Drosophila melanogaster: one gene and its partners. The protein of the gene in region 2 interacts with the protein of the main gene of each other region in a pairwise test. Each region holds a gene or a part of one and is shown on either strand. Other genes may lie near its edges.

What was found.
Region 1: the proteins of Dbx (region 2) and CG9173 interact in a two-hybrid assay, tested with the Drosophila melanogaster proteins (one large-scale study listed by BioGRID).
Region 3: the proteins of Dbx (region 2) and CG6996 interact in a two-hybrid assay, tested with the Drosophila melanogaster proteins (one large-scale study listed by BioGRID).
Region 4: the proteins of Dbx (region 2) and trr interact in a two-hybrid assay, tested with the Drosophila melanogaster proteins (one large-scale study listed by BioGRID).

The regions. Positions count from the first base shown.
Region 1 is NT_037436.4:1,418,503-1,426,786, forward strand, and holds CG9173 (uncharacterized protein), read right to left. Parts: upstream 4,970-8,284; 5' UTR 4,861-4,969; coding exon 3,559-4,860; 3' UTR 2,697-3,558; downstream 1-2,696.
Region 2 is NT_037436.4:1,917,082-1,925,445, reverse strand, and holds the start of Dbx (Dbx), read right to left. Parts: upstream 4,140-8,364; 5' UTR 4,032-4,139; coding exon 3,515-4,031; intron 1,174-3,514; coding exon 469-1,173; intron 192-468; coding exon 87-191; intron 28-86; coding exon 1-27.
Region 3 is NT_037436.4:20,204,447-20,212,178, reverse strand, and holds CG6996 (uncharacterized protein), read right to left. Parts: upstream 4,646-7,732; 5' UTR 4,555-4,645; coding exon 4,551-4,554; intron 4,314-4,550; exon of another isoform or gene 4,312-4,313; coding exon 3,221-4,311; 3' UTR 2,579-3,220; downstream 1-2,578. Other genes in the region: CG7017 (uncharacterized protein), read left to right, coding at 146-155, 427-1,496; CG7290 (uncharacterized protein), read left to right, coding at 6,178-6,181, 6,253-7,508.
Region 4 is NC_004354.4:1,885,263-1,893,434, forward strand, and holds the start of trr (trithorax-related), read right to left. Parts: upstream 4,689-8,172; 5' UTR 4,514-4,688; coding exon 1-4,513. Other genes in the region: mRpL16 (mitochondrial ribosomal protein L16), read left to right, coding at 5,085-5,133, 5,216-5,281, 5,351-5,967; arm (armadillo), read right to left, coding at 6,568-6,857, 8,141-8,172. UniProt on the Drosophila melanogaster protein: Histone methyltransferase that acts as a coactivator for the ecdysone receptor during development. Specifically trimethylates 'Lys-4' of histone H3, a specific tag for epigenetic transcriptional activation.

The DNA of each region.
Region 1 (8,284 bases), 500 kb from region 2:
GCTGCTGCAGATGGAGTGGGAACCTGCGACGGGCAGGTTGGGATGACGACGAAGGCAAGCGAGTGGGCGACGAGACAAGGCAGGGCGGTCCAGAAGTGTGGGATAAGTTGGGTGGAGTGGAGTGGGTTGGGTTGGGTCCAGGTGAGGTGCCAACCGAGCACACAATGCACGAAAAACAAACAGAATTGTCATGGGAAATATTTCACAGCGCTGCGAGTGAAGTGCCCGAGATGCTCCCCATTCGCCCCCCTCCAACTGACAACTCCCCTCTCCCCTCACCGCTGCACTGCACTGCACTCCACTCCATGCCGCAACTCAGCTTGGAATGTCTTTCAAAACGGTATCACACACACAAAACACTTTTCCTCTTGCCACACAACACAAGCATATTTAAGAGTTAAATGCTTCACTAAACAATAAGCCAGTGCAGCCAACTGGCCGAGTGAAGCCAATGGGGCAGTGCACTGCGAAAAACAAAGGTGTCATAACCAATTTAAAATCCTATCATCACTATCATAGCTATGCTACTTGTCGTTTCTCGCAGTGCATGATGATTCGAACTGGGCCTGGGACATGGTAAAATTCAAGTTGAAGGCGAGGCGATAATGAAACCAAAGTCAAGCACATCGAGCCAGTCCAGCCTTTGGGCCCTCCTTTTGGGTTGACAGGTTGTCCCTTGTTGCATACCCTGCCCCAATCCCAATCCCAATTCCACTCCCTCCCTGCCTCCCCGTTTGCCCCAACAATATACCATTCTGGGTTCTGGGAAGTTCTCATCCTCTCACACCCGCTCACTGCACTTCGTGTTTGCCCATTCTGTTATCAACTATTACAATATTTTTTGTTTAATTGACAAACAGGTTTATCATTAACATTTTTCTCACTGCTCTTGGCCACGGACTCCAACTGCTCGGATGCGTTGGCGGCGGCCTTCTCCACATTTATTTCGGCGTTTCAGGTGGAAGCGGCGCTTCAGTTGACGTCGCTCCAACTGTTTTCCCACACTGATTTCGGATCACGCTGGACACCGTGAAGCGGCGGAGCAAACTCAACCACAATGGGATGATGTGAGAAGTGTACTAACTGATCAATAAATAGGAAGTTCGGGCTAAGAGGCTTCTCCTATCCATGGGAACCCCAGATGTAATCAATTGTCAACCAGATTTTGGATTACATTTTAAAGACCATGAGTGGGTTTACCTCTTTACCCACTAAAAGTTGAATTAGCGTCATAGCTTCACTTTTAATCACACATCCAGTTTTAACAACTCAATCTCGACAAAGTGTCGCCAAAAGTGCAGCGGATGGAATGGATGGCTTTTTATCACCTTTACCACTTTGATATCTAAATACTTTGAGGGCCTGCTCGGCAGCCTCGTAAACCGCTAAGTGCTACCAAAGTTTTCGGGATTAAAGAGCTTCTGGCCGCTTCGGCTGCCGTCTGGATTGTTTGCTTTTGGCGCTGCCGTGAAAATGCATTTTCCACCCCCCTTCGACCATCGCTTTCCCAACTCCCGGCTCCGTGTGCCCGTTTTCTCACCTGAGGCCAAGTCTGCAGCTGCCGTGTCGATGCTCGTTTTAATTTGTTTGTTTACATTTTCGGCTGCCCCCCCCACCTGCAGCCGCGGCGAAGTTTGTTCCCATCCCGCGGCTGGGCGAAATGTTTGGAAATAGAGGTCGGTCCATGGGGATTGGGTATCGGTGGGAGTAGGCTGCACCACTGGGAGCTGGGCGTGTGTTTTGGTGTTAACAACTCGACACTTCATTAATTGAAGTTGAAAAAGAGCAGCTATAAAAAGACCATTAAGCTTCAGGCCCACAACAATGCAGCAGATAGATGCCGCATGTACACACAAAGAAATTTTGTAAAGTTCTAATGCTTGCCTTGGGCATCTGATAAACTTATGTTTTATCTTTTCATATATATAAACTTCAAATGCATTTTCCGAGTGCAAATGATTTTCGAACTATCAAAGTGAACTTCGAGTGGCTGCAGTGCGCATTGAATGCAGGGATATAACAAATTGAAAGACGATGGCGGGAAACTTTCCGAGTCTCAGTTCGCATTAGACGCAAATTTGATGGCTATTGAAAAGTTCAATGGTTTCGTGCGTCTCTTGAACTGCCTCCACCAAGTTGCCTCCAAGTTTCATCCGAAGCCGAAAAGTGGCACTCAATTGAGTGTGAGAGCTTTGTTTACCACACACATGCCGAAGCAAAAAAAAAAATTTTTTGGAATGGGAAGACAGACATAGACGCATCAAAACTGGGCTAATAGAGAAACTCAATGTGAGCATATCATAATTAGAAATTTGGCAAGACGTGGCATTATCTAGAGATATTCCAATATTTCCAAACATTTAATGGGCATCGCTTAATGGCACAACTCTTGGGCAAGAACCGATCGCGGATCCATCCAAAGATCGCTCCCCCAAGCGATTGGATCGTCGTCACACATAAATAGTTCACGAGCCATCCGAAGGCAGTGGACATAAAAATAAATCTATATGCAAATGTGACTCCAGTTTAACATGCCACAGCGACAGGCAGATGGAGATGCAGGCGGCAATTCGAGGGTGAAGTCTAGGCCTAGCCAAAAATATGTAGGGTAAACACGGGTGATTCGACTACAGGAATGATAATGATAAAAAGTCAAAGTTTTAAATCTAAACCAATAATAAACCATCTATAAAATTAAGATCAATATGTTGCCATTAATAATTATTATATTTATGTAGCTGTTAACATTCGAGTATGCCCCTTTATCTACGAATACCCTATAAAAATAGTTAAATCCCGACAGTCAAGGACTCCTTTCATTGCAGGCCCATCCCAGAATCCCTGGCGCAGAGGCGTCTGCAGTTTAGTGCCTGTCTCTGCGACTTTGAATCTTACAAAATGTGACAAGTTGCGGAATTATTTTTCGCAGAAGATGTTCTTCGACTTGGGTTCTTTTTGCCCATTTAGTTGCAGTTTGGTTTAGTTCGGTTCTGTTCTGTTCTGCGTGCAGATGAGCTGAGATTGATAAGCGGCGAGGAGCGTGAACAGGCCCGAATCCGCGGATCCGCACCATCCTGGTGGTGCAGCTTGGAGGAGCCTCTGTTCCAGCGCGAGATGCAAGTGCTTAGATAAAGGCAGCGATTTATGTGGAAGCTCCTGGGAGCTGCTGGGCGGAGCAGCCGGCGATGACAACAGTAGCTCCATCCCATCGAATGCCACGTCCCATTCCGTCCTCCAGCCGCGAATAAGCCGAGGTGCCAGCAATTTAGTGGCGATTACAACCGGCAATGGCATTTTAAGTGGCCATTGTCAAGACGCGATCTGTGGGCGTGTGATAAGCGCCGGCTCCCGTGTGGGCGATCGATTCCCCAGGTGTGGGAGTGGGTGGCCCGGATGGTGGCATGGTGGCATGGTGGCAGCTCGTTGAACCAAACTTGGTAGCAGAGGTGAGAAAACACGTTCTGTACTTAGACTACTTGTTTCTGGCTATTAAGGGTCAACAATAGCTCTCTTTTCATCACTCAATAATTTATATAGCCAAAATTTAAACGTACAAAATTAGTCGTTGCACTTCATACACTTCGGACCAGGAGGATGAATCGTTCGCGGCACATACGATGGATTCCTCTTCTGAGCCACCTCCTCGGCCCACAGTTTGTTGAGATAATCCTCCAGCTTGGCCACAACATCCTCCTCTTTGTCCACGCCGTCGGAACAGGTGGCAAAATCACTGCCCGAAGATGCAGATGAAGAAGTGCTGTGGCAAACATTCGAGGACTCGCTGCAGGAGTCGTGCTTGCAGTCGATGGGACAATGGTGATTGTCCCAGTCCTCTGGGGGTTCCACAGCTTCATCATAGCTGGTATCTTGCTCCTCTTCGCCAAGCGGTTGGGAAACAGGTTGGGAAATGGCCACTGGTTCCTCCAGACGATACCACTTCACCTTGTAGGAGTCTTGGCCGCATTCGCCAAACTGCTCGCCCGTCAACTGATCGATGTTGCATTCGCAGATGAGGAAGGGCGAATTGCACTGCTGGCATCTGGGTAGATTAACCTCATGGTTGATGATCGGACGCGGTGGCTTCTTCATCCTGACCTCCTTATCCATTTGCGGAACTTGCAAGCCACAGATGATGCAGGGTTCTGGTAGATCTGCACCCTCCGACAGCTTGATCTTCATCATTTGCCTTTGGCCGGCCTTGGGATGTCCGGGAACTTCCTGCTTGGAACAGCCCTTGCAAGGACAGCCCGGCACCAGGAGGGGATCCGATCTGGTAGTCATCCGTTGATACAGCGCTGCATAAACCAGATTGATCTGCCTCTCGTAGTGCTTGTGGGCCCAAAAGAAGGCCGCCTTGTAGTTGTCGAAGATCCTGGATGTCTTGTGCGCCGCATGCATCCAAGCAGCATATTGGGTGTGCACCGCCATCGCATCCACTATGGGATTGCTGATCGTCACCGGTGGCTTGCCGTGATAGAAGGCCTTAAAGGCCCGCTTGATGATGGCATAGGTGAGCATCGCCTCCACCGGTTCCATTTCGCACTTCAGTCGCAGAGCCTGGAGCAGGTCCTCCCGATTCAAGCGACTGTCAGTAGCCGGATTTGGTGGACAATTGGTGCGCAGTCGTTCATGGTAAACGAAAGCCCTCTTAATTATCGACCTGGCAGCGCTGGATTTGCTTGTGCTGATGCCACAGATCAGCATTATCTGCGCCAGGCTCTTGGCTATATCCTCCACATTATCGTCAAACAGTTGGTAGGGATCCAGCTTTCTCCTGCAGTTGCAGCAGCACCGCTTGATTCCCCCAGGAGGAACTCCCGCCTCCTCCTGCAGTTTTCTGGCCCTCTCATAATTGTCCATTGCAATTTGGTTGTTGATGAAGTAAGGAGACAGCAAACGTATCACTTTAAATTTCACTTTTGACAAAACACAAAAATTGTAGATGCTATACACAGATTTCTGATGGACCATATAGTCGCAGACTACTGTATCGAATTCTTTGGCTATTCCATGAAAAGAAAGCTCATAAACTAACCAATACAAAAGTATTGTCAACCTATCTGGCATCCATAAACCTACCAATTTGTGAGCAAACTTGACACACAATTTGATTTGAATGCACAATCTTCGATGAAGAATGCACTTCCCATTTCGATTGGAACTAATGCCATGGCTAAGTTTACCATAATAGAACAATAATCGGTTTGTCCCAATATTTTCCCTAGCCTGTTTTAATTTGGTTATCTGACCCACTGGTGGCCCTATCTAGGATTACACACAGACCCCACACAAGAATGCATTATTTTATCTCGGGACTCGGGTCTCGGTTCTGATCGTAGCTGCAATTATGCTAAATAGATTCGAGCCGACTGACCATCGAAATAAATAAGCGCAAAGAACACGACAGAGCCAAACGATGGCTGTTGTGTCAGACCTAAATTGTTCAAATAAATTAAGTTGTAGCTTTCGAATGGATTGGGGGGATTTGGGAATTGGAGATCGGTGTCTTTGGTGTGGGGATTGGGGCAAGCAAATACGGGAACGTAAACGTTCAGAGGCCGCCGCCTGTTGCATTGTCATTTGATAAATTATGATATTTGATCAATTGTTCCGCTGCGGTGGCTGGAAGTGCTGCTGCCTCGGATATGTGGAGAAGAAGTACGTGGATGAGATGAAGACGTCTCCGCATCCATGCCCGCATCAAGTCCACCGAATGAACTTTTGTTGGGTTTACATTGTAATGGCATCTGGCGGGGCAAACACACAAACACCCAGTCAGTTAGGCAGTCGGATGGTTAGTCCCATATCCATCCATTCATCTGCATAATAGAATTTCCAGGGGTATGAGCATTGGGGATTTCGAAAGGGGGTGAGGCTGCCTCTTTATTGTGGCTAATAGGCCTCTTGGCCGCTTTGTTGTTGTGCCGCCTCAGCCGCCTTCGTTTGCATTCGCTTTGGTCACCATCACCTCACCATCTCCATCTCCATCTGTACCAGCTCACCATCAACATCTCACTCTGCCATTGGCATTTCTATGTGGATTAATGAATGGCAGCAGCTCCAAGATGGGTAGGAATAAGCTGAAGATGAAGTCACACTGGGAAAAATCGTATTCTATTCTCTTACAATATCACATCCTTGAGATATAAACTTGATTTTAGTTGTAAGAAGCAATCTAGCTATAGATTTCGTATTTTGCTCGTACTACTTATAAATGTACTTAAATCATCGACACTTGCATATATATTTTTTTTTTTTTGCTGTGCCTCAAAGTAGACATGTGTTTACCTTCCACATAGACACACACACACACACACACACATCCATTGTCCCGCGTATTTCGCACGTCTTTTTGCTGCGCTGCGCGAATTTCGTCATATACGAGTCCGGTCAGCCGTAAACTGCAACATAAACCTGCAAATCCACTCTGGGGTTTGCGCCGCGTTTCTGAGCGTCACGGTGTCGTTCCGGAATTCACGAGTGATCCAGTAAACTGGTAATAAATCAGATCAGCTGCATCAGACAATACAGCTGATAGCATTGCCAACCTTTCGCAGTCGACGAGCTGGTTAGACTGGCGTTGCCAGATCAGCGGTGCGATCGTCATTCGGCCGCGCGCTCGTTGGGCGCGAAATTCGAATTCAAATTCAAATTTGAACTAATTAAGTTGAACAAAAATTTGAAATATAACCTAAGAACTGAAGCTAGTTCTATTTCCCACGGAGCGCTGGGGACCAACAAGCCAAAGTCCCCCTTTTATATCTGATGGACAGAACAGGGGGGGGCAGTGCCCCCGACCCCAACGACCCGTTTAGGAGGAGTGGTAGGCTATCGAGATCCCCTATAAGAGGAGTCGGAACCCAAATCCAGGGAGGGGGAGGTGAGCAAGCAGGCCCCCCGCCGCCGAAAGCTAGCGACTGCAGTGCAGCTGTGGAGGTGGAGACTCTGGCCACTACAGTCTCCACGACAGCCACAAGCCTGAAGACAATGGATTTCATCAGCGTGCCGGCCCAAAGGGCGGGAGCGAAGTCCCCATCAGGATCGCCGCATCGCTCGCCAGAACTGACCACGACGCTCCAGAATGAGGACCTGCAGGGCATCCTGGACATGATGAAAGCCAAGATCACCGCCATTCTATCCTCGTTCGAGACTAGGCGTCACGTAACCAGCGAGGATAGGGGCGTGCTAGTGGACCTATCGGCGCTCAATAAGAGAGCGATTGAGTTACAGGAGGGTATCAACAAGAAGCCCCCACCAAGGAGTACTGCCACACAGACTGAGGCAGAAAAGACAAAGCGTAGCCAGGTGGCGCCACCCAGACAGGCATTACCGAATGTGCAGGTCCGCAAAACGGACAACCATCGATCTGCCGCGAAATCCACCGGGAAGGCGTTACCCACGACGGCTGACTCCAAACCGGAAAGTTATGCGTCTGTCGCCAAGGACGCTAACAAGGACGAGGAATGGGCTAAGGTGAAGCCCAAGCGCCTGCGCAAAAAACCTGAGGCGCTAATCCTGAAAAAAACGGGTGAGGTTACGTACTCGGATATGCTCCGGAAGATGAAAGCAGAACCGAGTCTGACCGAATTCGGCAAGCACGTGCGTAAAATAAGGAGGACGCAACAGGGAGAACTACTTCTTGAATTAGAAGGTAAAGCCTCGGAGGTCATCCCCAGCTTTAAAAATGAGCTAGAAGCGACGCTCAAAGAGATTGCTTCGGTTCGCACGGGCGCGCATAGGACTGCGCTAATCTGCAGCGGACTAGACGAGACAACGACGGCTCAGGACCTTCACAATTCCCTGGTCTCCCAATTTCAGGGCATCCGCCTGGAACCAGAGGATGTAAGAGGCCTTCGCAGGAGGCGTGACGGGACCCAGATAGCCTCTGTGCTAATGTGCGCGAACGATGCCATTGCGGTCATCAACCGGGGCGTTGTAACTGTGGGATGGTCGCGTTGCCGCATAGCCCAAGACGTCCGCCCAATAAGATGCTTCAGATGCCTCGAATTCGGCCACCGAGCTCCCTACTGCAAGTCAGTCGATCGCTCTGACTGCTGCCTACGGTGCGGCGAGCATGGGCATAAGGCAAAGGGCTGCGTAGCCCCACCAAGATGCCTGATCTGCAGCAGTGACGTGGACAAGAACCACGCGACGGGTGGTTTTGCATGCCCCACCTACAAAGCCAACACCAAAGGAGCTAATAGCCGTCAAAATGATGCCAGAAGAAATTAACATCATCCAGCTCAACGTTAACCATTGCGCAGCAGCACAGAACCTCCTGACT
Region 2 (8,364 bases):
GCTTCTCCAGCCCCTTCCTCTGGGAATCTGCAATGAGGGCGACCATTAGATGAACCCCTTCGGGAATGGATGCCCCAACTACGCACCTGAGAAGACGGCACGCCGCATCATTCCACGGCGAGGCTTGCCACGCGTCGAATGGGCCCAGGGGAATCCCTGGCCAGGAGGCAGGGGGAACACTTGGGCGCCAACTGCAATTGTTGCCGATGGAGGGAGGGGAAGAGGAAAGAGGAAATGCATTAGACCAAAACACTTGTTAATGGGCACAGCGGGTGGCTGTGGACTCTGGTTGGGGATGTGACATTTGATATATTCGACCATTAGGGGCATTACACTTGGAAATTAACTCTTGAATTTGAGAAATTGAATCTATTAGATTATTCTAAGGATATATTTACTATATTTTTGAAGAAATCCATTTTATATGTATAAAATAATTTTAATAGCAATCCTTTTGGAATATCTTACCACTCATGTAGGGATTGCGACAGTGCGCCAGCAACGAGTGAAGGTGCGGGTGGTTGAGGGTGTGCGGCAGGAAGGGCGTGGGGCGGCTGGGCATGGGCTTGGCAATCACCGGCGGAGGAGGCGGTGGCGGCGGCGTCGGGTGTCCATGGCCATGGCCACCACCACCTCCTCCTCCTGTTCCTCCGGCGCCCAGCAACTGCTGCTGCTGTTGCTTGTCTTGCGTTAATCTTCGACTGGCGCTGCTATCCTCGTCGGGATTTGAATTCGCCAGCTCGTGCGGTCGAGCATCCTGGCCAGAATTGCCAGTGCCACTGCCATTGCCATTGGCAGTCGATGCGCCGTGATTGTTGTCGCTATCACTAATTGTGCTGCCAGGTGACGACGACGAGGATGCGGTTTGCGGTTGACAACTATTGCCGGGATGTTGCTGCTGTACATGCTGCTGCTGCTGGTGATGCTGATGCGGCGGCAGTTGATGCGTTAGAAATGCGGGATGCGGAAAGTGGGCGTGCCCCGCCCCCGGATGGTGATGATGATGGTGATGCGAATGCGGATGCGAGTGCTGATGTCCTGGCACTGCCAGCGGCTGGTGTTGCGGGTGGGAATGCGGCTGCTGCTGCTGATGGTGTTGCTGATATTGATGCGAGTGCTGCTGCATGAAGTTTTGCTGCAGATAAGGCCATATATGCTGCGGTTGCATGAACTCTGTGGAGAAGAAGTGGCGGCACCATTAGTGGCGAGTGAGTCACTAAAGCGCTGTCCAAAATGGAGGCACTTGGAAAAACTAGAGATTAGCATTTAATCAAACTTAATAAAGGAAATTATAGTAACTTGATGTATCCCTTCAACTTAACATTGGTTGTATGCTAATTAATTCTCAGTCTTCTGTGCTTAAAACCACTTTGAAGTGTCAGATTGTCAGCCTTGAAAACAATCTGCCAAAGTCGTTATCGTGCCCCGAGACTTGGCTCATTCTCAAGGAGTCGTTGAAGCGCGTTATGTGCTGTCTTGCGAATTTCCAGACAGGCGCCATGGCCCCCGAATGCCACCCCCCATCACCACACACACACACTCACACACACGCCGGCGCAGACAATGGGAAATGAAATCTGCTTTGAAGTGTCAGTGTGAAGTTGGCATAATTAAAGCAAACACAAGATCCCCGGGATAAAGGACTTTACGCACACACAGACATAGAGACAGACAGGCAGACAGACAGACACAGGAGCTCGCACCTTGAGAGCAAAGTTTGGCGCCTTTGAAGGATATGCTGCATCCCCATTTGTATGGGAAGGATATCGGGGGATGGAATCTCGCCCTTGGACCCCTGCGTGGCTGCATTTCATTTTCTAATTAAACACCCCAAAAAGGCAGCCGCCATGGCGGCTTCTCCCCATTTTGATTTGCCCCGCCCCCGCTCAGCCTGACAGGCTGGCAGTGGCTGCAGGATATCCAGGATATGATTTTAATTCGATTAGAGAACTGAAACAATTAACGAATTAACGCCTCTTTAGTTTCGACATTGTGTGCGCGTTCAATCCGATGCTTTTGACTCCTGTGGCCAACGGCATTTTGCTCTGCGGAGCACCGAAAATTTCCATTTCCATATGGCATCCTTGATTGTCCTTGTGTGTGTAGGAGTGTAGGAATGTGTGTGTGTGTGTGTGTGTGGCACATGTGTGCCTAATGAGCGCACAAATTAAGTTATAATTGTTCGCTTTTGTTTGTTTTGTTCGTCGGCGGTTTACCGACTTTTCTGTATCTGCATCTGTGCTCCCAAAATGTGGCAAGTTTTTCGACTTATTGGTTTATGGCCCTGCAAAAAAGTTCATTTGTGGCATACTCTTGGGCAAAAAGCCGTTCACATTTCGAGGGGAAAATGTGCTAAGTGGATTATTGATTGAAATGTGATGGCAATTAGTTGGAATATGCGGAGGAGATTAATGGACAGAATAAGTTAGAAAGTGTGTGTGTGTGTGGAGGGGATACCTAATGGCTGCGTTATTAAGACATTAAAAGTTACTTATGCTATTCTGGTTCTAATATAATACCTAATAATAGTCATATTTCGTACCATTTCTAAATTTTTTGCCACGCTTTGATCATAAAAAACAGTACGATTTAACCCCAAAATATCGCCAATAAAATCTCATAAAAAATAGTGATAAAATACGGGAAATCGAAAGGTCCTGCCCACTCATTAATATGGAAAGTAAGCCGCGATGCCATAATCACATGACAATTAAATCCCACAATCCCCAGAAATACAAGAGAACAATACAACTAAAAAACGGCCAAGGCAGAGCTGTTACATTGACTGATGGCCAATTGGTTACGCCTACCTTCTGTCCCCCGCCCCCAGGACCTTTTCCATGTCCTATCTGGCATAGGGATTCCCATTCTCATTCTCATCCCCCGTTGTAAGCAGCACGCGGCAGAGGATCCTTCGCACCATATCCCATGCAGATCCTTCGCACCATATCCCATGCAGATCCTGGCGGAAGTGCGGAAGTGCGGATGTGGATGGGACGAACTGGTTATGCGGCTTTGTGCTCAGGGGCTTGGCTCAATAATTTAAACATGATTAGGCCTGGCTGTGTTTTTACAGCCTGCAGGATCAGCGGTGAAACGCCCCGAGGACTTAGGCCAACACACAATAAAGTCGCGGCGTAAAAACTAAAGCAACTGCGAAGTACCAGTACTTTGCGTTCTACCCTCGCGAGGAGTCTGCGTAAACTTTTGGGCCAGATTTGTTATTCTTTTGGCTTTTCATATTGCAATTGTGTTCGGTATTTTGTTTTTATTCGGCATTAGCCACGACAAATTAATTGCCAAGCCTTTTTATAACATTCTTTGAAGCAGCCCGCGGCGTAAACCTAATTGGAGGAAACTATCTCATCGACTTCAGAATTGGAGGGGCCCAAGGTAATTACAAAATTTAATCTTAGGGGTTCCAGTGAAAACAACATTGAAAGAGAAGCAAAGATCATCAGCACCTCAAGGCATACTACTAAGCTAAAATTGCTAGTTGCCAACCATGTCTTACCATTTCTGACACGGACTCCTTCCCGGGTGTCGCCAAGGATCGCGCTGACACTGAACTTGAGAATGGGCTTGCTGTTGGTATCCTTGAGGATGGTGTTGCCGACGGTCGGCATGCTGGTCTCCTTGGGCTCCACCTTGGGCAATTTGATTGACACGGGCTCGTCCACGTCGGCCAGCTCCTCTTCCAGCTCCTCGTCCAGGTCCATGTGCGGCTCCTCGCCCTCGACACTGCCAATATCGGCGACTATTTCGTCCGCCGAGGAGGAACCATCGTCCTCGTCCATCTCCTCGATGCTTTCTACACTCTCGGCACGGATTTCGCGGCACTTATCACACTTGTAGCCGCGCAACTTGGAGCAGCCACAGGACTCGGTGGGCTGGTCAGCCGGATCCGCGGCATCCGTTCCCGTGGCCGACCGACGCGATAGGAGCATCTCGCTCAGGCTGGACTTCAGCTGGCTTTCCGTGTAGGTCTGCTGGGCGTGCAGGAGACTGTCCACGAGGAAGGCCGTAGACATAACGCGACGGAGCTGGCTGCTCTATATTTCCGTAGTCTCTAGTATCCGTACACGTACCGATTCAGTTCTCGTCTGTATCCGCCAGTTGTCGCGTTCGCGTCGAGTGCTCAATTCGAACTGAACTCGGTTGGCAGAATGTCCTGGCAGGCGCAGGACGCAGCATCCGGGTGCCCAGGAGTGCGATTACGGGGTTGCTCGTCGTTGGTTGGTCCGCTTCTCCTGCCCAGTAGAAGTGCCGTCTGTGCGGCACGTGATGCTTAGTCCTTATGTACATCCTGCTCTCTCTCTCTCTTCCTCTCTCTGTTTCGCTCTCCTTGCGAGAGCGTATGCGTGCGTAAGTGTGTGTGTGTGCGTGCGTGAGTGTCCTGTTTAGCCTTTGCCTGCTCGTTATTGTTGTTCGCTTTTTATTTGATTTTATTTGCGTGAAAACAATAAAAATTTAATTTTCTTGTTTTGTTGCCTTTGCCACTTGCTGCCTTGAACTGAATTTGGCTCGATCTTATTAAATTTGAGCTGCCATTCCACGGTGCCGCACAGTGGGGCGCATTGTTAGAATACATTTAATTTACATTTAATTATAATATAAAATATGTAATTTTATACTGGAAACAAAATATTTTATTTTGTTTTTATACTACAATTTCTATTATAATTCTCAACTGGTTTAAGCTAAGCATTACATAGGCAAAGAAAATATGTTTCACATGTTTGATTAACGTAAAGGATCCTTTCAACAAATAACTTTTCCCAATAATGTACAAAGTTTGATGATATAGAGTAATGGCATTTAGTTACATTATTTGAACTGGACTTCTACATCCATAGACTTTTGAATTTGTGCGAGCAATTTGTTGCAGACATGGGAAGCAAAAAAAATTCCGACAAGCGGCCAAGGAGTCAGTAGATTAACTTTTATTATGACCGCAAATTAGTTGTCCTCGTCGCCGTTGATGACGACAATCGAGTTTATCGACAATGATGACTTATTTACTCAGCGTCGAAAGCGTGGTAAATGCGAAAATGGCTGAGCAGCGGTTATGTAAGCTTAGGAGCTAGATAAACAGCAGAATGCGGCAAGGATGTGTGTGTCCTTTTGGCCTCTATTGTGTGCGAGCAGAAAGAGAGAGAGGGCGAGAGCACGGAGCAACCCCTGTGTGCCAGGCGCTGGGGTCCCAAGGAGTCCTGCCCGCCGAAGGGGCGTGGCCTCACTCGAATGCGATTCCCATCAGAATGCTGAAAGGAGCTGAAAGGAGGAGAAGTGCCCTCGACAATAGGAAGAAGTACAAGGATAACAAAGGCCCCAGCTCAGATTGTTTTGCGCTGCCATTTGTGGCTTTTTGCTTTCATATGGAGCACGCCTCAAAGGATTACCCCGTATCCGTGCAGCCAGGACGTCAGGATTTCCACTTCACCCACCGCTTCTGCTGGCAGCGAGTACATAAAACATGCTCATATAAGCGTATAAATATGTGATAATAATGATTAAAAGTTCTCATCATACCATCATCATTTATGCAAAGGATTCCGCCCGTGGTGTGTGTGTCTGTGTGCGCTCAAGAGTCCTTACATTTTTATTTGCCACCGACACTGAAGCTGAAGCTGAAGCTGAGTATTTTCCATTTTCTACTATTTCCCCGGCTCCGCTCTCTCTCTCTCTCTCTCTCTCCTAGCCGCTATCTCCATCTCTCTTTGTAGTCGCCATAATATGAGGACAATTATTTGATAAGTGGGCTGAATGTGCAGCTTCCTCCGGCTTTCGAGATTCTGGATTTGGATCCATCTGGCATTGTCACTGCTGCTTTTTGACAAATGAAAGGGGTCACCGAAACAGGCTTTTGTCGGAAGCCCCCCCCAATAATATATATGTATATATCCTTGCCCCCATTTTTCATTTTCCGCGCGGTGGAAGGTGTTGAAGACAAACTTTTAATTGTTTTTCGGAGTGTTGCCATGGTGTGAGTTTATTTCCGTTTTTATTTTTTTAATTTGTTTGCCGAATTGGAAATATGTAAATGATGTTGGTCGGTCTGAAGTGGGGATTATTGGGCTGCTAACGTTTGGCTTTTTGGCCGGGCATTGTGGGCTTATTGTTCGCACTCATAACGCAATATATGATGAATGTGGATTGATTGGATTTATTATGGAGGTACATTTGGGATTGAAATCAAAGAAATCAAAGAATAAGTTAAATATAGAAAAATATATAAAAAATATATTATTCCAGCTGTAAAGATCAAAGGCAGCGAATAGATAGATCCAACTTACTTTGGGAAATGATAACACACTTCACAAACAGACGAGGACACAAAATGATTGTATTGTACATACTTATTACTCATCTTTTCAACTGCTTCATCTAATCCTGAAGCATCTGACAACTGAACTCGCTTTCTTTTCGAACTCACTTCATCCAATCTGGCGAAATAGCCTTGCAGATAAATCCAGTTGGCCAAATTCAAAGACTTCCTTCTGTCAGCGCTGCCACATGCCACTCCAGTTCGAATAAACAACTTCATGGATATTTGGGGCGAGTATTTGGTATCGAATCGAATGCCGCTGACAGTCGCATCATTATATGGATATCATTATCGTGTATCGTCTGCAGCTGCGAAAAAAAGGTAAAATGTCACAAGATGCTGCAAGATGGTTGGGGCACAAATGGGTGGTTGAGTGGTTGGGTTGGCTGTCTGGTTGGGGGGAGGGGGCGTGGCCGGGCAATATAATAAAGCGCAAACATTTATACACGACACTCGATGCGAGAGACGATATAGAAAAAGCATTCCAGCCAAGTTAACTGTCGATATCAGCTGCTGCCACGACCATGTCCCCGCCACGCCCACGAAACCCAGTCCACTCGAATCACATTCACCCCGCCCACCATCCATGAAATGAATGCGAATTCTGTTTGCCATCGATTTTCAGAGGACAACGTTTATTATTTTTATTATACGCGCCGGCAACTAGAGAAACCGGAGCACAACTCTCGGGGTGGCTGCGAAATTATGGGCTTTTCATAACGTTAACAGTCGCATAAATACGCTCTTTGTGTCAGCCAAGTAGAAAAAATGCGATAAAAGATTATAAAGTGTGTGTTGTCGTTGGCTTTTGCTGCCCAGTGGGTTGCTCCTGCCTCCTGGCTTCTAGATTCTGGCTCCTGGCTCCTGGCTTCTGGGTTCGGAGTTCGTTCTCGTTCTCGTCCTGCCGGCGACATCTGTTTCCGACATCTTTTAATAAAATTTTCATCTTTATTACAAAACGATTGTTTTATGCGCCACGCCCCCCCCCCTTCGCAACTGCTACTCCCACTCGCGTTACCATTGCCTCGAAATGCCGAGAAAAGACCGAACTTCAACTTGAACTTGGACTGGACGACGTGTCCTGCTGGCGGAAGTCCTTCAGCGGAGTCGCGAACGGAAGTAATTAGAATGAAGCGATTTTTAGTTGCCAAGTTTTTGGCTTGGATTTTTATTTTCTTTATTTTTTATTCAGCGCAGGGCGAAAAGTTTTCATGGGACTCGACGAGCCGCCAAACAGTTTATGAAAATATTTTCCACTTCTCATTTTATTACTTTATTTCACTTAATTTGATTGCACACGCGGCGTTTTTTTTTTTTTTTTTGCCTGCTCTCGAGTGTATGGAAATAATTGCCAACTTTATTGGTTAATTTATGAAATTTACACATTTAATGGTTTGTGAGTTGGCCATGTGTGTATGTGGTTTGTTCGTAGTTGTGGTTTTGTGGTGGCTCGCATATTTATTTGTGTTTGGACCATGTGGTCGGAAAGTGCCGTTCAGTCGAGTGGTTGTTAAGTGGGCCTAGTTAGGTGTGTAAATATGTGAGAAAAGCTAATTTGAACCAGCTCCTTATACTGCCAATAGATTGCAAATAAAGCGGTTAATTATTAGTATAATATTTTTATAGGGTTACAAATCGCTTATATGATATTCAATTCTTTTGAACTCGTGATTCAAATGGTTACGTTTTATACCATACCAATATTTAATTTATCCCAGTTCATGACCTCGATGAAGATCTCTTTCCGCTTTTTAAATGGGGGAACAGAACGAATATTTTTACAATATTATTTTTTGCACTTTTTTACAGCTGAACATCGTTGATTTTTGATGTACGCATGAGGGCGCCGATTAAACCAACTGGAAAATTCGCATAGCCTCTGCTAGCCTCGACCATGCCCCCCGCTTTGCCCACGCCCAGAATTTTCCCCCAATTGCAGCGGCAAAAGGTAAATAAACAGTGCTTTTGCAAAAAATCAAAGAGTTGCATAATTTTCCAGGCGAAGAGAGGCGGCGTGAAGGCAATTAATATTTTTT
Region 3 (7,732 bases), about 18 Mb from region 2:
CCGAACAAAACCGAGCAGAATGGCCTTTGCATATTTAAGAGCTCCAGCCTCCGAAGGTGCAGTATCATTTGAGTTGTGAGTGCCGCCAAGATCGCAGCGGGGCGTTCGAGAAACCAGGATACAAGTTAACCAAAGGATATAAAACATGAATAGAGGTAAACTAAAGTGGGACGCCAGCTGAACATTGACAGTGATGGATTTCGTTTGAAAGAATTGCTCTTTAAAAATGTACATATAAATTAAATTCAAACATTAAGTTTTTAAGTTGATAGGGCTTTCTGGCAGAAGGGTAATTTTCGTACCAGCTATCGTAGTTTAAATTTAAAAATTGACTCACATGTTTGGGGTTAATAAATGGTAAAGCACACTGGATATGCCATCCTGTTCCTGACACAATGTTCCCACGATTTTCGATTTTACTTGCAGCTAGCGGTGTCCTGTCGCTGCTGTTTGTGGCCAGCGCCCTGGGCGGCGTGATCGAGGACTTTGAATACCTATCGGTGGCCGAGATGTGCGACCTGCTGCCGCAGGAGACAAGCTTCCTGCGACCGAATACCTGCGACAACTGGGTGCGGTGCGCCAGCAACTACAGCGTGCTGGAGCAGGGCGGCTGTGCCGCAGGACTCAACTACAACAAGGAGCTAGGCCGCTGCATCCTGGCATCCTCCAGCGCCGCGGTGTGTCCCTATGCCGACAGCATTGCGGACAAGGCCACGAACCTGTGCGCCAACGAAACGGAAGGCGCCTTCATCGTGGATCCCAGCAGCAGCGATTGTCGCGGCTACATCTTGTGCAAGTCGCACAAGCAGATCAAGGCCAACTGTCCCAACGAGCTGATCTTCCATCCCGTATCGAGGTCTTGCGTGTACGAAAAGCAGTACCGTTGCCCCATCAGCCAGACGAAGAAGACCAGTCCCGCCTGCCGATCCCTGCCGAACAACACCCGTCTGGCCGATCCCGTCCACTGTGACCAGTACTACGAGTGCGTCAGCGAGGTCTTGCACAGCCGAGCCTGTCCAGTGGCCAGTGCCTACGATGCTAATCTCGGCTACTGCGTGGATGTGGCTGAGGTGTCCTGCTACGAGAGTGCCGCCCTGCCGGAACCGGAAAACACCTTCTGCCTGGACAGTGCCACCGGATCCGCTCGCGTTGGCTACTTTGCCGACGACGAGTCCTGCTCCCACTACTATATCTGTGGCAGCCCCGTCGCCGGCAAGCACGACACGGAGCCCAAGCACCTGAGCTGTCCACTTGGCCAGTACTTCGACTTCGAGAAGCTCTCGTGCCGCGACAGACTTAACGTACGCTGCCAGCTGGACAGGTGTGTGGGCACCAACATCACCTACGTAAACGTCGCCGGCGATTGCCAGAGCTATGGACGTTGCTCCGGCGGAGTGACCGTCAGCCTGGGCCAGTGCCCAACGGGCTACTACTTCGACGAGCGCAACCAGGGATGCACACAGACCAACTACCACAACATCGCATGTTCCGTGTAGGCTGTCCCAGAAGATCGCATCCTTACCACAATCCTTACCAAATCGCATCCAATTTAAATATCCAATAAATCGATCCAATTCATGGTGGAGGTCAAATGCATTGCTTGAAAGGAATTCATGTACTTTGTGGTGGGAAGTGTTAAGTTTTATGACATTCATCCATTTACTTTTTACCATGGAAATGGGTCTACAAATATTAGCTTCTCGAAAAATGTCCAATAAATGTGTTACTCCATTGAAACCTGAAATGTATATATATATAGTTTATCCATTGCATTTGGCTCTATTGTAGTTTTATTCCCTTTCCATTCGAATTTTACCGTCTGCTTCCTCTTTATAGAAGATGTTACCCTAACCTTGAACAATAAAATATGAATTGGTATAAATAATGCTAGAGAAATACTATGATTTTTTGGACTGATTTTTGAACTACATTGGCGGAAATGTTCATTAGCGAAACGAAGTTGGCGTGATAAAATTCTTCTGGCAACCCTTTTGATATCAAAACTGCGCCACACAACGATTCATATTTGGCAATCTGTTTTCGTGACACTTGCAGTGCCCAAAAAATTATCAGTTTTAATTAAAATTGTACCCCAGTGGAGGGTTCGGAGAATTTCAAACCGATTCCAGATAGTCCAGATAATGAATTCGCTACTCGGAGCTGCCGCGATCGCTTATTTCCGTGTTGGCCATCAGGCGAGCAAGAAGTATCCAACGCCCAAGGGTCGTTTTTGTCTATCACTAATTAAATTCAACTATTAGGGTCGATGTTACCCATTAGGTCCACAAATATTGTATGAGTGTGAAATGCAAATGAAATGCATCGACGCGCTTTCGTTCTCCATAGAAATCAATTATGTCCACTTTAAGAAGGAAGTTATACAAGTCCACAGGGCGGATGATTGATTTGTATGTAGGAAAGGTCAAGTATTCAAATGACAAACGGGGCAACTTTGCAGCCTCGCTATAATGTATTAGTATTTATTGATCATAACAAATAACGATAACAAATTCCGAAAAACTCAATAATATAAGTTATCTTGTTATGACACCTCATAGACATATGTACATGTACATATATGGTGCCTAATGAATAAAGTGGTTTGAATAATCAACTTTGTAGTACGATAACTTCGTACTTTTCCATTCAAATCTCCTATTGCAGTTGTTAAAAACGGTGATATCACCCATGTATGGGCCATGAATGGGATCCAATGGCTACCTCCCTGGTACTTTCCCATCGCCAAATTTCCAAGTGGTGTTCTTGAGTATGACATCACGGTTTCACGTTACCGAGTGTCTTGCTCGGCAATCGATTCAAGGAAATCTTGGCCCAGAGGTGATCTGGTAACTTAATCGTTATTGCGCCTGATTACACCACTTATATTTATTGTATCGGCGTCGAAAAAACAAACTGTCTAATTAAAACTGATTGCGTACGTCGCTCACGAGACCAAAATATTGCTGATAGTGCCATTCATCAGCCGACGTTTTCTGGCAGGCGGGATAAGATTATATTATGGCTCGGATGGTTCACAAATGAGTCAACTTTTAATCGTACAACTAAGCTTTTCGAAATAATCTTTTTATACCTAAATACATTTGAAAATTCAGATGTTTGTATTGTGATCAATTCCACGAAATCTAAACAAAGAGCTGATCTATAATTTGTATGGGACTTGGGCCTGATAACAGCACTACTTATACTTATGAGGAGCTGCTCACGACACCGGGACCGCAATGGTGGTGCTAGTGATGGTGCTGCTGGTGGTGGTGGTGGTGCCACTTGGAACTTGGGACCCGGTGGTTGCCTCCGATATCTGACAGGCGGTATATGATATGACCTGGGTGGTGCACCGTTGGGTTATTTCGTCGAAGTACTCGTCCTGCGGACAAGTTCCTTGGCCAATGACGATGCCATCCTGGCAGATCGAGTAGCCCCTGCAGCCATCATCCGACTCGTTGGCCAGCTGAATGGTGGAATTGCCCAAGCCCACGCATCGATCGTAGCCGCATTTCACCTTGGATCGCGGGACACAGGCTCCGCCATCGGTGGCCAGGAAAAATCTTCCATCGGAGCAGACGCCATGCTCCAGCGAGAACTCTCCATTGCCCAAATCCTTGCAGTAGTAGTAGCCATTGCAGGTCTTGTTATCCGATATAAATCCACCCGTCTCTGGACATACACCCTTCTTGCTAATATCTGGCACTGGGACGAAGTCACACTCCACATTCTGCGGATAATCGCACTGGGCCGTGGAGGCCTTGAAGTAGAAGGTGCCCGGACAGGTTCCATTGATCACCTGGCCATCCCAGCACAACTGATAGCCATTGCAGTTGTCCGTGTCCTTGACGAAGACCCCATCCGGCAAGATGTTGCAATAGCTATCCGGGTCCATTTTATTCGAGCACGGAAAATCGCGGATGCAGTCCTGCGTTCCCGAATTGAAATTCATCCCAGTGTTGCACACTCCGTGCGTCCCCTTGCCATCCTTGCAATAGTAATAACCATTGCAGGAGTACGGATCAGCCGCGAATCCGGTGGGCAGAGCAGCGCACGGATCACTGGACAGACACTTGATACTACTGGAACTCAGGCATTTCTGGCTCTCCCGGTCGTAGAAGAGTCCAGTCGCACAGCTACCACTCACAGGGCTCCCATCGATGCACTGAATCCACGCGTTGCACGCCCGAGGATCGTTCATCTTGGTTCCGTTGACCACCAAGCTACATATTAGAGTTGCATTGAAGGTCAGGGCGCCTGATATCGTGGGGATCATGATGAGTCCGGAAATGAAGGCGAGCTTTGTGTCTGTTTTGCATAAAAGGGTATAAGTACGATATTCGAAATAAGTTGCAAGTGAAGTATGCTTTCAATTTCGATTTAAATTGCATATTTTTTTTTCAATAAATGTTTGAGTTTTCGTTATGAACTTCTTGAGCCTAAGTCTACGGTTTTCTATATTTATATCTGTCTATGAAATGGTAATTCTTCTCGAAACAACAATATAGTTACTTCGATGGATATCTGCTAGTGCCAGAGATACTCACCCATCTCGAGTTCAGCAAACTTTTAGTATTCCAAAGATACAAGTACCTCTTAACGGCTAACGAGGAAAAGAACGTCTAACTGGATGCCATCCAAGTTCGCCAATAAATACAAATCGAAAGACAATGCTTATGCCCTCGCTACTTTTGGGTTTTCCGAAAGGTCTGTAAATTTTGGAAGCTCTAAGTTAGTCTAGAACTGTCTTCAGTGGCTAAAATGGACGCATGACGTATTCATATTTCACTTTTATCAGATTCGGTTAAATCCAAATTTGACAAGTGATAAACTTGGCCAACGCCGGTGCGCAGTTCATTTAAAACCCAATTTGTTTTTATTTTTGTCAACTTGTGCGGTCATACCTTTGGTTTTTTGGTAGTATTCGTTGTCGAATTCGTATCCGCTTGTTTATAATTACTATCTTTAGATTGGGTCTAATTTAATTTATTACACATATAGTAATTAACTTTATTTCAAAATCAAATGTTATTATGTTTATCGCCTGCGATCTGCTGACTCAGGTGCACACGACATTATGCTATTAATAGTCCACGATGACCGATTCTTACTGACATACATACTTATTGAGATTACTGTTTAAAATTATACATTATTGTGAAATTATTTACGATTAAACTAACTTTATGAAATAATCTGCCGATCGTCGGTTTTAATTGTACCTGATAGTCGTAGAGTAAATGAGTGTACAGAGTGTTCGTTGAAAGGAAAGATACTATTGTATAAGAATATAGAAGATTGATGTGAAAATTACTTGGTGTATAGGTATGCTACAACAAGTAAACCACATATAAAAAATCTAGTGTCCTTGAACTCCCTTCAAATGAGTACTGAGTATCTTAAAGTCGAGGAACTACACTAGCTTACTTGTTTTTTTAAAGTCAATTGGGCTTTACCACATAAGTCCAACTTTTCTGTTCCGATAGTAACAAATATGTCTAGGAATCGCCACAATTAGTCAATATTATTAAAAACAAAGTGTGTGGGTTTTGCCATATAATATGTAGGTAATTTTAAGCTAATTTAGATTACTCTAATCTCATTTCGTTTAATTGATTTGTTTGAAAAAAAAAATAGAAAGGACCATATTTGGAGAACTTCTTGATATGGTACTACTTGAATTATATAATTCGGTAAAAAACTCATTCAAATTTAATCAAGTATATACATTTGGTTAAACAATTATAACAATTATAAAGTCGTTAGCTTTAAAATGCGAACTCTGTTATAAGTTTAGAGCACGATGTAATTCTTTATTGCTCTTTTATTTACACATTAACTTTTTAATATTCCAATTATAGAAACGCAGTCTAAAAAATACATTTGAGTTAATAAAAAGAACCCAAATTTCTATCCGTCTGAGTTCTGGGAAAGTTCTTATCCCCACAAAAACTTTGTTGACTTGTCAAAATGGCCATCGATCATGCAAAAATGGTTCGTTGGCTTCGCTTGCGATACATCACAAAATGGGTTCCTGAGCTGAAGGGTCGTCGATCAACTTGGACAGCCCAGCGGATCGAAGATAACTCCTGGCTGGACTGCAAATAAAAGCCCAGGAAGTCCATCAACCAGAAACAGTATTCAACTAGGAGCCACCAAAAGAAGAAGCAAATAATGGGTGGGTATCGCATATAAAAGTTCGAAACAGGAAAAATTGGAACATCATATGAATATATTCAACGCTTCCAGGTGGACAAAAAGCAACCATCCTCGCTGCCGTGGCGCTGGTGATCGCCTGTGCCGCTCCAGCAATAGCCGATGTGAATGTCACCGCCTTGTGCCTGCTGGTCAGCAATGGGAACTACGTGGCCAGCCAGTCGGACTGCTCGACCTACTACCAGTGCCAGGGATCCTCGTTCACGGCCATGTCCTGTCCCCAGGGCTACTACTTCGACAAGAATGCCCAGCAGTGCACGGGCACTGTGCCGAGCACCTGCACCAGCAACTCCGATCCCTGTCTGGGCAAGGCGGTGGGATCCTTCGCGGCATCCAGTTCGTCCTGCGGCGGCTACTACTACTGCGGAGCCTCCGGCGCTGTGAGGGGCAATTGTCCTGCCGGCGAGAACTTCAATCCCACCACAATGGCCTGTGTGTACAAGAACAACTATCCATGCAGCGAGTCCGCCGGTGATGGCTCCACTGTGTCGGTCGCCCTCAACCTATGCAATCTTGTCAAGAATGGCTTTTACTTTGGAAGCCCTTCCGACTGCAGTGGCTGGAACTTCTGCCAGGACAACGTTCTGCACTCGGGATCCTGCGAAGATGGTCTAGTATTCAATGTGCAGGCCAGCAACTGCGGCTACAAGATGGCCTCATCCTGCGCCCAGGTCACCAATGATCCATCCCTGACCGGAGTGTCTGCTCCGACCACATGCTCCTCGTCGGGAGCAACGATCGCAGCCACCGCGTGCAACCAGTACTACCTGTGCTCCGCCGGCAACTATCAGCTGATGACCTGCCCCTCGGGATACTACTATGATACCATCTCGAAGGCGTGTGTGACCAGGATGGAAGCGAGGAACGACTGCGACAGATGTGTGGGCACCACTGCGACCTTTGTAAACGCCTACTCGGCAACCAATTGCTCTGATTACCTATACTGCGTGAACGGCGTTCAGAAGGCCGTGGAGAGCTGCCCCACCAACTACTACTTCAACGAGAACCTCGGATCCTGCGTAAACGGGTTGGAGCCCAAGTTCCTCTGCTGCAATCCCACGCAAAGCGATGGAACTTCGACGTCTTCCTCTGGTTCGACTTCCTCGGGCTCGACTTCCTCCGGATCGACTTCCTCTGGGTCAACTTCCTCCGGCTCGACTTCCTCTGGCTCGACTTCCTCGGGCTCGACTTCCTCTGGCTCGACTTCCTCGGGCTCGACTTCCTCCGGCTCGACTTCCTCTGGAACTTCATCCACAACCTCTACTGGAACAAGTTCAGACAAAAAATAATTTAAATAGCATTTATGCCAAAAATAATAAATACAAATCAAGTTTGGCAACTCAATTAAAAGTATCCACCCAAGTTATTCGCACAGTAATAGGGTATATGAAGTAAAGTGTTCTAAAAAGGATATATATTCTTAATTCGGATAGGAAATCGGCAAATAAAAGAGCTAAAATGCCCAAAAAACTGTCACCAAATGCGACAAGAATAAAGGAAAATTTCCATCGAC
Region 4 (8,172 bases), on a different chromosome or scaffold from region 2:
TAGACATTGGTAGCATCTTTTCTGCTCCCGGAGACTCTGCTGGCGAGGGTGAACGGGTTCGTGCAGATCCACCAACTAGACCTCTACTTCCGCCAAAGCGTTCGCTATCGTACAACGAGGGTATCCCTGGCAGATTCACTCGACCATAGCGGCCGAGAACGGTGCCATCACAGTCCTCCAGACCTTCCAAATGCCTGCTCAGTGGCCAGCCTCGAGATCCGCCCTTCAGCTTTCCTCCTCCAGCCGATGATGATCCGGCAGAAGCCGCAGAACTCATTGAGGCGGGCGAACCACCTCCAGAAGTCTCGTTGCTCCCGATAAGAAAGTGAAAGTTGCGATTGAGATGCGGCTCCAGAACTTGAAGCGGCTGCATTTGGCGGATGTGCGTCAGCAACTTCTCGGTAAATGCATCGTGATCCTCTTCTACCTTGGAGAACTTGCGAACCCGCTTCTTGAGCATGGGCGAGGAACTGGCTCCAGTACTGGCGCCCACTCCTCCCAAAGTAACTCCTTGTCCGGTACTGGTGATCACATGACCAGTCCCTGATGCCGCGCCTTGTATGTACTGGGTCCCCGGCGGCATTCCTGCCAGTTGGACCATTGCACCTGCCGGTAGTGGACCTGTTAGATCCTTAAGAGCTCCACCCGCTTGTCCGGCGTTCAGATTTGTGCGCCTCGGCTTCTGGACCTCACGTTTGCGGCGCTTCCTTTGGTCGCCTGCCTTGCTCTCCATGGTGGGCACGGGGATGGGCACTGCACCCTGTCCAGTAACTGGAAGGGGAATCGTCGCATTCTGTGGTTGGTTCTGGTGCAGTTGCTGCTGCTGCTGCTGTGGATGAACTGCCATATGGAGCTGATGCTGTACTTGCAAATGCATTTGAGCGGGTATCTGTCCAGCGGCATGTCCGGAGATTTGTCCGGACATCTGCCCAGACAGGTGTCCTTGCATAGTCGCCTGCATTTGCGCCTGCATCTGCACCTGGCCCTGGCTCTGGTTCTGGATGGGTTGTGCCTCGTTCGGGACACCGGATTTCTTTACATAAGTGGCAATCGCTGAGATCAGCTGTACTTTGTCGGGAGTACCTTGTCCAGTCGGAGTTGTTGGTAGGGAGGTGCTTATGGGAATCTCTGCCTGTTGCTGGATCTGCTTTTCGTCCAGTTGTGGGTGCATGGGGAGCTTGCGTTTTTGAGGCTCTCCAGGCTTGAACGGTATCTTTGTGGTGGCTACACCTCCTTCTAAATGGTTATTGGTCCATTGCGCAGACACAAGGGGACCTCCGGAGTGAGGTGCAACTCCCGCTGCAGTAGCTCCCTGTTCCGAATGAAGCGGCGGCTCCGCTTGCTCTGGCAGCGATTCGTCGCCCTGCTCCATGGGTAGTGACATAGCTACCGCCTTGGGCTTCATCTGCAGTTCCTTCGGAGCCGCTTGTTTGGTGGATATGGATATGGTGACGTTCGATATAGGAGCAGTGGCCATTTCGTAAGGCGGAGGAGGTAGTAGTTCAGCCGGCTTCGAAGTGGCTTCCGTCACTAGTGTTTTAGCAGCAACGGGTCCTGAGATGAACGACGTCTCCTTCGACACAATCTGCACAGTCTGCTTGACTTGGTGGGGTGACGGTTGCAGCTGCTGCGGCTGGTGTAGTTGCTGCTGCTGCTGCTGCTGTGGTGGCGGTGGTGGTGGAGGCGCCTGGTTTTGGCTCTGATTCTGCATAATTGCTGCTGGCTGATCGGATTTCTGCTCCAGCTTTGCCTCCCCTCCCACTCCTGGTGTGGTAATTGCGACCGCACTAACAGGTAGAGCCGTCGCTGAGGCGGTGGCTACCTGTTGGCTGCTTCCTCCGCTAGCTACTGTTGTGGTGGTGGTGGACGTGGCCACAGATCCACTGCTACTACTACTACCTGCCGCCTGCGTGGCAGTGGGCACCGGAGGAATCACCGGACGTGCCAGTTGATCCTCCAAACTTCTGACCTTCCCCATGCTGGGCGCCCGTACGTTGATAACCTTGCGGGCGGAAAGAGGTGCCGAAGCTGAGGCGGAACCAACGTGAGCCGAAGTGATGCTTATCTGGTTGAGGCTATGACTGCTGCTGTTGTTTTGGAGCAGTTGCTTTAGAAGTGCATTATCCTCCGCTGCCGAGCGTTGGTTGTTCATAGGTGTGGCGTTCACTGTAGGATTGGGTGTGCTGGGATTCGAGGCAGTTGAGGTAGATGTGGCCATTTGAATTTGATTGGCGGACTGATTTTGAACCTGGTTAATAGCCGTCATTGTGGCATTGGCGTTCAAACGCTTCTCCGGCGTGCCGATCTCCTCAGCCCGCTCCTCACTGGTCGGAGTACCAGTGCTATCCTTCACAACCGCCTCCTGTTTGACCAGTAGCTTTGCTTTAGATTCGCTGCCAACTTCTTCCAGCTTGACTACGTCCGGAGCCAGACTAACGCTGAGTTTGGTGGGCGTATTGGCGGTCGTTAGTTTCAGCTGCATTGAAGCTCCCGAGGTAGCTGATCCGGAGTTTGCAGAAGATCCCGCCTTGTCTGCACTAGAATCCTGAATCAAAGCATGATGCATCTGCAGCGCCGCCTGACTGGACAACGTGGTTGTAGTTATCATCTTCGGTTTTTGCTGGGCCATGGTCGTCTTGGACAGCACCAGGGATATGTTCTTGTTCTGAATGGAGATTATTGGCCGCGTGCCCATCATCGGACTGTTTATGCAGATGGTCCCCGCCGAAACGGAAACGGTGGAGGTGGTGGCCAGATCTGAGGCATTCCCCGAAGCCATGGTAAACGTCACGGGTGTGCCTGCTCCACTGCCTACCGCGGAGATTGATTGGCTTTGAGCAGCCTGTGAGTGCTGCTGCTGCTTAAAGATGTTAAAGCTGGGTGGACAATTGAGTGTATTCTTGTCGAGCGGCTTAATCACCACGCTGTTGATGTTGGTGAACTCCTCCGGGCCTCCAGTCGATTCCTGGGACTTGCTCTTGTTGAGAATTTTTTGAAGGTTCTCCGAGTAGGCTGTAATCTTTCGAGGCGCTGGCGCATCGTCTTCCGAATGGGCCGCAGGTCCCACAGTTGCGGAATCCTGAACCATTGCGTACGTTTGGCTGGGGTTGGTGGTGGTGATAGTCACTATGCTGCCTGTGGGCGGAGCCAGGCCTCCACCACTGGTCACCTGCAGCTGCTGAAGCTGCTGCTGCTGTTGGATCTGTTGTTGGTGCTGCTGAAGTTGCAGCATCTTTTTGCTCACCACCTTGGTGGCCACAATTTTGGTGTTCGCCGGCTTGATCTGTAGCCCCGAAAACGAGACAATGGTGCCGCTATTTTTTGGCCCGCGTTTGATAAGTTTGGTAAAGTTGTGATGTGCATGAGAATGGACGTGCGGGTGGACCTGCTGACCACCGCTTTGCTGCGCAGCACTCATTACGGTAGTCACCTGACCGCCCGGCTGCAGCAGTTGCTTGCTCTCTACAATCGTGGCTCCTCCGGCTGTGGCCGCTCCACTAGCGCTCATCAGCGGCTTGAGCAGCGGCACCGATATAGTCTTGTTGCCAATCGACACTTTCGCCGTGGTCTGCGTTACTTCCGACAGCTTCTTGGCGTTAACCATCAGCTGGGTTTTCATCTTGGGGTGAAGATTCACCCGGTTTAACAATGTTGTAGTGGGCGTTTGGCTACCAGTGGCCGTGGTATTGAAGATGTTGTAGTTCGTGTGACCGGATTTCTGTGTGAGGATTGTAGTGGTGCCGGCTCCACTGACTCCTGCCGTTCCGTTGTTAGCGTTTAAAATAATGGTGGAGGTAGTAGCTCCAATAGGCGTTCCTGCTGGTGTTCCCGTTCCGGTGGAGTTACCCACAGATGTAGAGCTATCCGCGCCGCTGGCTGGCATCAGTACGTAGTCGAGGTCCTCAGATTTGCCGGAGTTTTCAGCATGATCCTGCCCCGAGCCACTGGGCTCGATGGAAATGACGGACGCGGTTGACGATGATGACGAGGCCGACGATGAGGCACCCTCCTTTTTGGTAAAGCTGGTAAAGGCTGTGTTTCGGTGTAGCAAAGGGTTAGATTGACTGTTCCTTGGAGTGCTGATTCTGTACTCACTCTGCTTGTCAGCGTCCTCCGCCTTGATGGCACCCATCTCAGTGCCGGAGCCGAAGTTGCACACTATGATCTGCTGATCGCGGGCGTCCCAGACGCCGTCCGCCGTCTCGACATCCTGCGGCTCCGACGCAGCTTTTACCTGCGCCTTAGCCTGCTGTCCACTCCGCTGGTAGAGGAGCTGCTGCGGCGCGGTGCTCGACGCTTTGGCGGGCAAACTGGGCGCTGCCGTTCCAGTTCCGAGAAGCAGCTCCGTCTTGGCCTTCTTGCGCGTGGGATCCTCCGCCGGAGTGGCGGTGTCGTCGCCGCTGCGCTTCTGCAGGCTGACCGCATTGAAGGCAGCGGCGGCCACGGATGCTACTCTTTCGGGTTTCGCCTTTTCGGCGGCACCAAGCGATGTTGTCACCTTCGGTATATTCATAACAAACACACAAGTGGAAACGCGGAACGCCGGATGCGATGCGCTGCGTTTCGTGGGACGGGAAGGGCGGCGGTCTAGCTAGCTAGGGCTCGCGCGGCCTGCTTTTTTTTTTACCGAGCGAAAACATGCACGATTAGTCAAAAAAATTTTATTTTCGTGTATGCAGAGCAGTGTTACCAGATGGTAAAACGACCATTACCCTGAAACGTTCTTACCCATCCCTGGTTTTCCACTCAGAAACCCACCACTTTTCCCATCCCATTTCAACATATCGCCATGGCGGTTGCAATCGAATAACGTTTGTACAGCAATCATTTTTCGTTAACTTCAGAAGTTTTTAATACATAACATAATTATTGTGTTCCACGTGCAATATGGCACATTTTCAACTGCAAGAATAAACCATAGTCTGGACAGGGCCGTCAGCTCACTCGACCAATCGGTGGTCTATCGATATATGTTTTTAGCACCACATTTATTAGCTCGATCTGGCAACGGTGGCCGTTGATGCAACACATCTTTGCACAATACAATTTTATAAATAAGTAATATATTTTGACATAAACTCACCATGCTCTCATTAAAGTTAGTCTCCCAGCTCTTTAAGCAAAGCCTTGCGTGTAAGTTGCAGTGGCGCTTCCTGCCTAGCCACATCCAATCCGATAACAGTTTGCAACAAACCACTTAAACTTTTCTTTGCAGCGGGCAACATGGCAATTGTCAACACAGCCGGTCTTAAGTATTTCGCTCCGCCTATTAAATACCAGAGTAAGTAGTTGCATTTAAATGTGCACAATGAATTTAGAGCAATAAATGAATGAATGTGGGAACCCCCAGATGTGGAGCAGCCGGAGAGACCCAAGCTGAGGGTCATTGAGCGCCAGCCCCAGCTGCCGCCAAACATCCGTCCGCCAAAGATGCAGAAGCGCCTGCGATACATGCGCGGTCCGGAGATGGTGCACAACACGCTGCTCCATAAGCAGTACGCAATCGTGGCCACTGGCGGAGGGCGCCTGCGCTGGGGCCACTACGAAATGATGCGTTTGACCATCGGACGCAAGATGAACGTCAACACTATGTTCGCCACATGGCGCGTTCCCGCACCCTGGCAGCCGATCACTAAGAAGGGCCAGGGCCAACGGATGGGCGGCGGAAAGGGAGCCATCGACCACTACGTGACCCCCATCAAGGCCGGTCGCGTCATTGTCGAGATAGCCGGCAAGTGCGAGTTCGTTGAGGTCAAGCAGTTCCTGCAGCAGGTGGCCAACCAGCTGCCCTTCCAGGCCACCGTCGTTTCCCAGGAGATGCTCGACGAACAGCGCGTCGCCGAGGAGGAACAGACCCGCCAGAATGAGAACCCCTTTACCATGAAGTACGTGATCCAGAACAACCTCAGCGGCTGCCACCGTTGGCTCTCGCCCGTGGACCACAAGTGGTTCGGCAAGCACCTGTAGATGTATAGCTTCAATTAATAAAGCCATCCTTCGTTAATCTGTTACGAAACTGTTTCAAGTACTTTTGAAAACTGGAAATATCTTAAAGTAGGTTCGAACTTCGAACTTAGGGCTCGTTGTTCCAAGCCGTGACTCTGCGGCACCCAATTGTGGAGCAAATAAGAAAAACGCCATATGAAGGGAAATGTACGAGTTCTATTGCAAACATTTGTTTAATTTTCCATTTCGTTTACGTGGGTAATATGTAATGCATCATATAATATGTTTTTCTTGCCGTTTCGTTCGCATTATAATAAATGTATAATATTATGCATGTATGCGTGTGTGTATGCTTTGTCGCGGGGTATGGTGTGTGAGCAAATAGCCTTCTCCCACGGACTTCAGTTCTGGAAGCAGAACTTTGACCTGCCGCAGCTCCTCGTATTTGTCAAGTAAAATCCACACCTTCGTTGATCTAGTCAAGTTTCGGTGATCGCGATTCCGGGATCCGGGATGGAATCAAAGCCGGTGGAAGAGGGCTATTGTGCAGGGATGGGAATTCGTGTGTTTTATGTTATGGGGTCGAATGGATACTCGACCCTTACCCTTAGCTCGGCTTGTCTAACAATCGGTATCGTACCAGGCAGCCAGGTTGTTGTTGTCATTGGGTGGCGTCGGCATGGCGTCCAAGTCAAAGTTCAATGCACCGGCATCAATCTCGCCAACGTCCATGTCCATGGAATAGGGCGAAGTTGGTGCGCCGCTAGGCGGAATGGCGCCGATGTTACCACCGCCGCCGCTAGCTCCGCCTACAGCTCCACCATTGCCGGGAGCACCGCCAGCACCGCCGCCGCCCACTGGGCTGCTGATCTCCAGACCCTGCATCGAATCTATTGGTAGAGTATCATATCCTGTGAACAAACGAGATGGGCAAAGAATGATAGGGAATATTGTGATTAGTGGAGAGGATTTACAATCTCCGCCAGCCGTCAACTGGCAGATGGTGCGACACCTTGAAGTCCTGCAAAAGTGGATTCACTGCTGCTCGCTTTAATCGGGAACTCATCTAAAATGCATCTTTCCAACACACTTATTGGATTTATGCCGATTCAAACGAAATGCAGACTCCACTCGTACACGACGACCCTTTAACATTAACCTAGAGTATCAAACAACAAAAATCTGTCGTTGAATACTGCTTAAAAAGAACTAAATACGTCTAAAATACGACACGACATGGACGCGTTATTGTCGATTGGAATTCGTCCTCTGAAACTTGCATGCACACACGGCTTACAAACTAGATACGAGTATATACACCATAAAATATATGGATTGTGGGTGGCTAAAACTATGCGATTATCGCAGGCTACGTGACATGCAGTATGAACCGAAATAAAGTTTATTACTGCTCCTTCATGGAGGGAGACCTTAAAGATAAAAGCCGTCTAATGAAAGGAAACAAAATAGATTTATACAAAACAATAAATTTGCGAAATTATCAAAGAAACGTATGTGTTTCTTTACTATTCACGATCCTTATTTTTTAAGGTTGCACTCTGTGGTTATTTGTGGTAGATCGGTGTTCGTGTGTGTGTGTAGTGCAAAAATCTTCAAGCTACGTGTAAAGTCCGGAGAGATAGATATTCTTTTCCAAATGTGAGAGAGCAGGGGAAGTAATCCCGCAAAAGACTGAAGTTTATCCCTATTATCCCTTATTGACATAATTGGCGCCCAATGTCGGGCATCGGATGCACAAGATTTGGATTTATCGACAAATGTTTGTATACCGCAAATGGAAACAGGCGGAGTTATATTCACTTCCTTCGCATGCAGCCGTGGAACTCAAGGGTTTAACGATATTAGGGGGTAACGAGCAAGGAGACAGAGATATTGAGATCAAGCGAGGGAACTGGGTGGAAGAGGGTTTCGCTCACACTGAAGAAACTAAAGTGAGCTTAACGTCTTAGTTTCGATTAACAAGTGCATATTTGAATGATGAACAGACATGATAACGATTAAATGGATGCGGGGGTTTGGGGCTGGTCCCGAGGATTTTTCGAATTGTCTGAACCTGTTAACGTTTCCGTTGGTTTACTTTTTAGTGGGGTTATGCAGGATTCTTCTTCTTGGGGTGTGGCTCGAGGGGTACGATGGGTACGAGGGTCTCTTCTTACGCATATGACATACATACCTTGCTGATGGAATGCGCGACCTCCGTGTGAA